2 linked regions of the Drosophila melanogaster genome follow. The protein of the gene in region 1 interacts with the protein of each later gene in a pairwise test. Each region holds a gene or a part of one and is shown in the gene's direction. Other genes may lie near its edges.

What was found. Proteins that work in one complex are often made in the same cells at the same time.
Region 2: the proteins of CG5386 (region 1) and dpr17 interact in a two-hybrid assay, tested with the Drosophila melanogaster proteins (one large-scale study listed by BioGRID).

The regions. Positions count from the first base shown.
Region 1 is NT_033777.3:22,340,715-22,344,060, reverse strand, and holds CG5386 (uncharacterized protein), read left to right. Parts: upstream 1-1,809; 5' UTR 1,810-1,846; coding exon 1,847-1,932; intron 1,933-2,023; coding exon 2,024-2,521; intron 2,522-2,590; coding exon 2,591-2,771; 3' UTR 2,772-2,825; downstream 2,826-3,346.
Region 2 is NT_033777.3:12,093,225-12,097,877, forward strand, and holds the start of dpr17 (defective proboscis extension response 17), read left to right. Parts: upstream 1-1,651; 5' UTR 1,652-2,076; intron 2,077-2,405; exon of another isoform or gene 2,406-2,824; 5' UTR 2,825-3,452; coding exon 3,453-3,792; intron 3,793-4,653.

The DNA.
Region 1 (3,346 bases):
AAGTCTAAATGAGTATATATTGCATAAATTGTTAAATTGGATTAGAATCTTTAAAGAAGTTCAAACTATTCGTTTGAACCCGTTTTTCTTCCCTCTGCTGTGTGGCTGCAAAGAGGTGGATTCCCGGGTGAGCGGTTGTTGCCATATTTTAAGTGTTTTCTGGTTTTTCGGCCACTGTGCACGGTGCTTTTAATTCCTATGGCGGCGCTCGCCTGTAATTTATGTGCTTAACTTTCACACTCGGCTGGCTAAAACAGTCACCGAAAAATCGTCATAAAAATAGAAAATATATATATATATGAACACTCTCGTACTCGGCCATTTCACACTTTTGCGCCTTTCGGCCGAAAAGCGGTGGAAAATGAAAGCGAAGCCACAAGGACAACGGCTAAATGCGGAGGAGGACGAATACATTCCAGTGAATATTTATGAGCAACCAAAGTAGCATTTGTGCTTTACATTCCGACTTTATTGTGGCCATCGTTGCTGAAGTCCAGCCAGTTGTTGTTGCCTCTGTGTGCAACAGTCCCGTCCATCGTTGAAATTCAGGCCGCCCTTTGTGGCTGCCATTGCTTCACTGGAATAAATATTCAAATTGTATGTAATAGTTTATACTACTACTCTATTCTATGAACTCGCATTTGATCATCTACTTAGGTTTTAATATATCAAATATTTCGATAGAAACTATCTTGTTTATTATGATGTTCAACTGATATTTTAATTAAGTTGCTTTTTACTGTGTAATGTTGGCGCTGCTCTTGTTGCTGTTGCCGTCCTCTCATCTCTGTCAGCTTTTCCGACTCTGATGAGTTTATGCTTGGAGCACATATTACTTTATTCCAGAGTGTGCCTAGGCCCCTGGCCACGCCCCCCGCCCATGTGGTTTTGGCCCACCAACACAGGCACATGCACACAGTCGGCCATTCATGACTGTCATGAGTTTTCCGCAATTGATGGTCTAATTATGCCGCCAACACTAAATTTCATGACTTTGCTGGTCGACGAAGGCCGCCGATGATGAGGGGGTAGAGGGGAGGGGGTATTTTCCGAGAAGGGGAATTGTAATTTAATGGAAAAACATTTTGCCACACATCCACGGAGAGCGGAAAATGGGAGCTGAAGCCAAGGGCCACTTTACAGTTTGACAGTCACTGCCAGACGGTTGACATTTTAGCTTGGATTTATGGCCACCTCTTTGAAATGGCTCGTATGTTAATGCAACAGTTTGAGAAGCGTAGTTTTATGGATTTGAGTTTAAGAGCCCTTTTTGTTGAAAGCACATAATCATATAACTTATGGAGGCATTTACAGCAGCTGAAAGGCAGCTTATTATAAAAAACATATTTCTTATTAAAGCTAAAATATTAAACTTTACCAATAAGAAGTAAACTATTTAGATGAATAAATGTATTCTAATCAATTTAAGAGAGGTATAACGTTACTATTTAGTTTCTATTAGCTTATTTTTACTATTTGATTAAGCCAATTAGCTAGTCATATTTTTTGTAGCCGGCTAATTGAGATCCACTCAATCGAGAACCGCTGTCGGGCCTCCAGTTGGATCTGTAAAGCCGAACTGGTAATTATCATACCGAAACCAATGGGGCACATCAAAATGTTCACACTTCATAATATTTGCATATTAATGTGCATGTATAATTAGCTTCGAAATAATTAATGCCCGAAAACAAGAAACCTAATCGAATGCCTAGGCAAAAGCAAGCATCTCCCAATTAGAATCCATGGCATCGGAGAATATTTGATGTGTGAAGTTAGTTAGCCGGAGTTAGTTCTCACCGAGAGTTTCGAGTGGAAGGTCTCTGGCACTAATAAGTCTTTAAATATGTATCCAAATTGGCTCGTTCTGCTCCACTTGCCGCTGGTTTGTTTGGGAGTTGTTTCGCAAACATTTGCACAGCCGCTGACAAAGTAGGTCGTGTGAATGTGCTGGAATGAATCTCGCCCAGTGTGTGGGTGGTGGTTAGCGGGTCAATCTATTGAGCAAACTATTTGCTTACAGGCACCACAACACCGGCATCCTGAGCATCAATCGGGCGGAGGGACAGAAGATTGAGGAAGCCGCGCTCCAGCAGCATCTGCAACAAATCACGGGCAGCGAAGCGTTGGCGCCATTGTTGCACGAGTTACTGGGCCAAACTGTGCCAAATTGGCAGCAGCCACAGCAGCAGCAGAAACATCAGCAGCCACGGCAGCAGCAGCAGCAACACTACCAACAACAGCAACCAAAATGGCAGCAACAACAGGCCACAAATCAACCGCAACAGGAACAGGGGCAACACTTTTTTGTTTATGAAAACGCCGCGGGTCAACCACCTCAAATATTGGCCGGGTTCAATGGCGTCAATGTGCAACCTGAACAACCAGGCCAGCAACTGCGTCTCCAGCCAAAGCCAATTCAGACGGCACAACAATATGGAGGAGTCGGGCCAAAAGTCGTTAAGGCGCCGCCAGCCGCAGCTGCAGCCGTTTGGGCGCCACGAGTCGAGAGCCACCCGCCGTAAGTAAACACTGAAAACTACCAACTTATATAATCCATTATTTGCATTAAACAATGCATTTTAATTAGCCCATACCCATCTGCGGCAACTGCAGCGCCAGCAAGTTGCCAACTCGGCAGGAATCCGTCGGAAGTTGCCGCTCCTGCCAGCCCCAAAGCCACGCCCCCCGCGCTATGTCCGCCTCCTTCGGGTGGCCAGGAGACGATCCCCTTGCTCAGTGCTGCGGCGCTCAAGGCGACAGCTGGTTAAGTTTTTAATTAAATCGCTGGCATAATTAATAAAGATGCGCATAGAGAGTCGGGCAAAGTGTTGCATACTTTTGGGGCGGCCGATCGCATGGGTGTATTGGTTGCCGTGCACATGTGTGTGTGTGTACTCAATATTCATTCATGTGAGAGCAGCAGCTGTGTCAGTTACTGCAAAAAAAGTGAACTGGCTTTTTTGAAAATATCTTTATTAAATTCGAGGATTTTGAATAACCTTGAATAAACAGATGTAACAGATTCTAGATTTTTCTAGAATTTTTTTTTCTAATCCGTAACCAGATTTGGCTTCCAATCTCCCAAAGCCCAGAAAGAACTCGAACAATACGTATGAGACTTATTTGTCAGCGTGCCTGCTCCGGCCTAGCAGGACCTCCGCCCACCAGGACTCGTTTCGAGCTGTCACCGAACTCAGCATAAAAGTAAAACATTCAACTAAAAACAATTTCTAAAAATATATGTGTACGAATATAAAACATGCAACACGAAAAAACCGCACAAAACACTTCACGTTGAGTGCGACTCGCAAATTGTGGGGCGTCTGTGTGAGTGAGCTGCACC
Region 2 (4,653 bases), about 10 Mb from region 1:
TTTTGTTTTATTTCACAACTCGATTGATGGGCTTTTAGCAGCTTTTGGTTTTTGTTGCCTGGCTTTTGGCTTCGATAACTGGCGCAACTGTTCACTGTTTTCACTGGCTCAAAGGCGACATAAAGTATATTTTGATTATTTTGTGAGCCAGAAGTTGAGCATTTTAAGGCCCGCCGGCATTTGCATTTCAAATATACTTTTACGACAGCCAGCCAGCCCCTTAGCCTTTGGCCCGCATCCCGCCCGACACCTTCCGCCGCAGGATCTTTTGCTGCGGGCGAGACGAGGTGAGCCACATGGAAGTGGAAGTGAGTGAAATACCACAAATGGCGTGTAAACACAACAAAGAGGTAATAACAATGGATGCCAACGAGGTCCCTGACTTCAAGGACCAATGGAAGGGCGGCAAAAGTAGCCGAGGGGAACTCGTCCGCATTCCTGGAGCCTTTGGGAGGAGTTCTTTACGCAGCGCAGGGGGGGATGGGGGGATGGACTTTGGCACCAAGCGCACCCGCACTTTCGAAAACATTTTTATTTGTTTCTCCGTAAGCTGTGTCAATACACAATAAATTGAACTGAGCAGGAATTTATGTTGGTCCTGTGTGAGGATATTCAGCACCCTATCTGCCCGCTGGCTCTGTTATCGCACTGGGGCGTCAATTGCCTGTAGGCCACCGCCCCCTGGGGACTTAAAAGTTCAATAATATTTATTTGTTACTTGCTCTTTGACAACAAAGCACACGAGATTATACTTAGTCCTAGGCCGTCGTTCATCAAGCCGCGCATATTGGCCCACTCCATTCTACATAATGGCATATTGTCGCACAATACCCGAGACCACAGATATGTCTTCGCCGGGGCAGTAAATTCCGGCCACTAAAGGCGATGATTTTTCAACAGACACCGAGCTAATTTAGTGACCGAATGCCAACGCGGTCACCACCGTGATTTACGGGGTCACCATTTGCACGACTCCAATTATTTGTTGGTTGCCTCGTGACTTTAACCTTAGAGAAAAGTGCTGAAGAACGGATGAGTATATTTCAGCTTAGATTAATGTCAAAATAAAGCTAACACTCGGTTTAAGAGGGAATAGAAATTAACTGCTTAAAATATATATTATATTTTAGGTCGGTTACAAACTGCTAACTCTTAAACTCTTTCATTTTAAAATTGAATAGCTACGAGATTTATATATTCCATGTATCAATCTTTATACCATTTTTAAGAGGCGTCAATTCATATTTTACATCATGGTCGATTTTTGGTGGCGTCGAGCGAACCAATTGATATTCATGTGCGACTAAAATAGGCATTTGTCCGGCGGAAACAAGTGTTTTGTTGGTCATCTACAAATGGCATCCGCGGAATAAAAAATAAATCTTCAATCTTCTGTTGCCAAAGCAGTATTAGCGCGCAGGCGCGAACAAACAGCCGGCAAATAACCCGACGGTTCGATTCCGAAAATTCAGTGCAACCAGAGGGATGTGAACGGCACAAAGCTGGGGAAGTTGGAAACGAACCGGTATGCCACATGAAACAGAGGAGAATCCGATGTGGAACGCTCGACGGAATGGCTATGAATCGGCACTATCCGCCTCGGAATGTTAAGAACTCGATGGGAAGTGGGATGGCGTCGCTCGAACGCGACTCAGTCGAAAATTTGAATCCGGTTCGCGCGGACGTGACTCGGATGGTGGAAGGAAACCCAGACCGCAAACGAAACCGCAACCAGAAGTCAATTTTACGCGTTTATGTCTGAAAGGGACTTGTGCTGAAGAGGCGGGAGTTAGGAAAACAAAATGTGACAACAGAAACGAAGAAAAAAGTTAATGGAAAGTGGCAAAGAAAGAAAAGAAGAATTAAGACAAAGTTAAACCACTTGATGTCCTCTTGGGTGTCCTGTGTCCCGTGTCCTGCAGTGCCGCCTGTCGAGTGTCTTTTGCCGAAATCACTTTTAAAATTTGTTTGCTCCCGCCTTATGCAAATGGATATTAGAATGCCGCGCTGAATTGCGAAGCCGAGGAACAAAAACAGGACCGAAGAAAACAGAGGATTTCTCCAAGGACGCGTAACGTAAAAAAGGGATTATTGTGCATCATTTTGGGCAGCAAGAATAATGCCAAGGAGGGCGAAATAAAAAATATTCTCAAGTCGGATTATGCGATAAATTGTTACTGAAGTGTAAATGTTTTCTCACGTGTTAAATCATTAAATATAAGCCACCCAAGCTGCACACAATTCGTTTAGAGCCCGGCCATATGGCCATTGTTACCTTTTGCCACCGACCTAAAACTCAAAGAAAGCCCATCGAAAGGCAATGTGAAACTTGTTAAACACTATAAATGGTCGAAGTTTTTAAGGTTTTTTTTTGTGCGAAAAGTTTTGGCCATTAGTCATCGAGAACATTGTGTGATAGTTCTGCATGAAAGCCGTGCAAGTTATTAACTTTTAAGAAAGTGAGCCGGGAACCAAGAAAAAGGAAATTCTATGTAATTAATTGCAAAACGATTATGAAAGTTTAAGTGGAAATAAGTTGATTTATATTTCTTGGCAAGTTCGAGCACTTGACTTTTCCATTGATTGAGCTGTTGAAGTAAAACTTCAAGATGTAGAAATATGTTTTCAAAAGTTTTGTTACCATGCAGAAGTGTTAACTCTGTTCAGATTAGTTTTTAAAGAAATACCATTTTTAATGGTAAGGTTATATTTTATTCTTGTTTTAAATACGTATTTTTCTTCACGTGCTTTTAATACTCAATTATATGGTATCCCAAAACCACTTTTACAATCACAATAAAATCGTATGCAAACAACATTTTAGGTAAATGTAGTTATTAGGGATTAAACGGATTTGTGCTGTTCAACAAAATAAGTTTTGGAAGAGACCAAAAAGCTAAATAAACAAATTGGATTACCATGGAATAAAGTCGAGTTCCGATGCCAGTTTATTTGTCTATGCTGGTGCCACTGCATCGCCAATAAAAGTTTGCCACTCAACAAAGGCGAAAACACTTAAATAAATATATAAATCAAGCAACACAAAAATTGTGCAAAACCAAGTGCAGAGACCGAGTAAGCCAACAATGGGTTTGCACGAAAATCGCTTGAGAAAACGCATCGAAAAACTTGTGGCCGACCCATAAAGAAGAATTGCAATTTTTTGTCGAAAGCTAGAAATAAAATCAAATGAAATAAAATAAAATAAAATGAAACAGTATAGAGGTTAGATAGAACCCAAATGGAGGCAAGCCAGGACCCAAGCCAGCCCCAAGTGTATTAATTCAATAAACCTATTTATCTGAGACTTCGACTGGGATTTCGAGAACGGAGCAGAGAATGCGACAAAGTTTGCCAGCCAAGACGGCGCAGTGCAATCAGCAGATCCTGTCTGTCCTGGTCCTGGCCCTCGCCCTGGTCTTGGTCCTAAGGAGCACGAGAAGCCAGATTCGATGCCGCAAACGAGTCCCAATTGGAGGCAGGCGGACAATGAGCGCACAAAAGGCGCTGTAAGTGTCATTGCAGCCAGGAACTGGGCCACTGGGACTGCCACGCAGGACTGGAGCCAGAAGAGCAGCAGTAGCTGGAGCAGCACCAGTCGAAGAACCGGAATCAGCAGAACCAGGACCAGGCCAGCCACGTTGACAACCGAGATGACAGTGGCAGGACGAGCAGAACGAGCAGGAGTAGGAGCGCCGTGGTGTCGCCGATTTTTCCATACATCCCCACTAGCGTCTTGGCTACGCATCAGCTTCGTCCTTTTGGTCCTTCCAGCTCTCGGCTTTGGGATACGTAAGTACAGCTGGGGGGTTTCCCTCACTCCTTGCGTGTGCGTGTGACTTTCATACATTTTTGATTTAATTTAACGCATTCACGTCGCACACTCTAACACACAGTTAACTGGGGATGGAGTCCTATGAACGGGTGGAATACACTTTAGGATTTGATATTCCCTAGTGTTAAACCAGATCCCTCTCTTTGCAAAGGTATCAAATCAGGAAAATGCAGTTTTTACATTTCTTCCTAAATGCACTTTTGTATTTAAACCTTAAATCATGCCTCGTAAAACTAGGAAAACAGCGACATCCTTTCAGTGCATTATGTTCTCCTGTTGTTCTGCCAGATTAACAGGATAAGTATCTCCAACTCCTCGTTTCCTTATTTATTCGGGTACCGGGTGAAAAATCTTATGCGCACTTGGCAACACACACATGGATAATTGTCCTCGTAAGCGGATCCCAAGACGCGAAATAGCTGCTGGCAAATTGTTTTAGTAGTTCTGGATCAGCTGGGGGAGTGGAGGCAAGGAAATTGTCGTTCTTTGAAATTGCGGAGGATGAAACTGGGGGCTGAGCTTCCCGTTGTTTCATTTGATTTGCCGAAATTAGATTAGAAGAAGCCACGGGGCTAGCGAAATGGGAAAACAATGGCCCATAAAAGATGACAAAAAGTTGTGCGGCATTGCGGAGCGATTCCTTATATAGGGGTTCTTCTGGTAATTCTATTTAATAAATAATTTAATTCGAATTTTCCACGTAATTAAGATAACTTCCTTGTGCACAGTGACTAGTTAATATAATTTATTCTGACCCGTAATAAGCACTTGAAGATGAAATATTGAGAAATATGCTAATTATATCGATAGATAGTGTC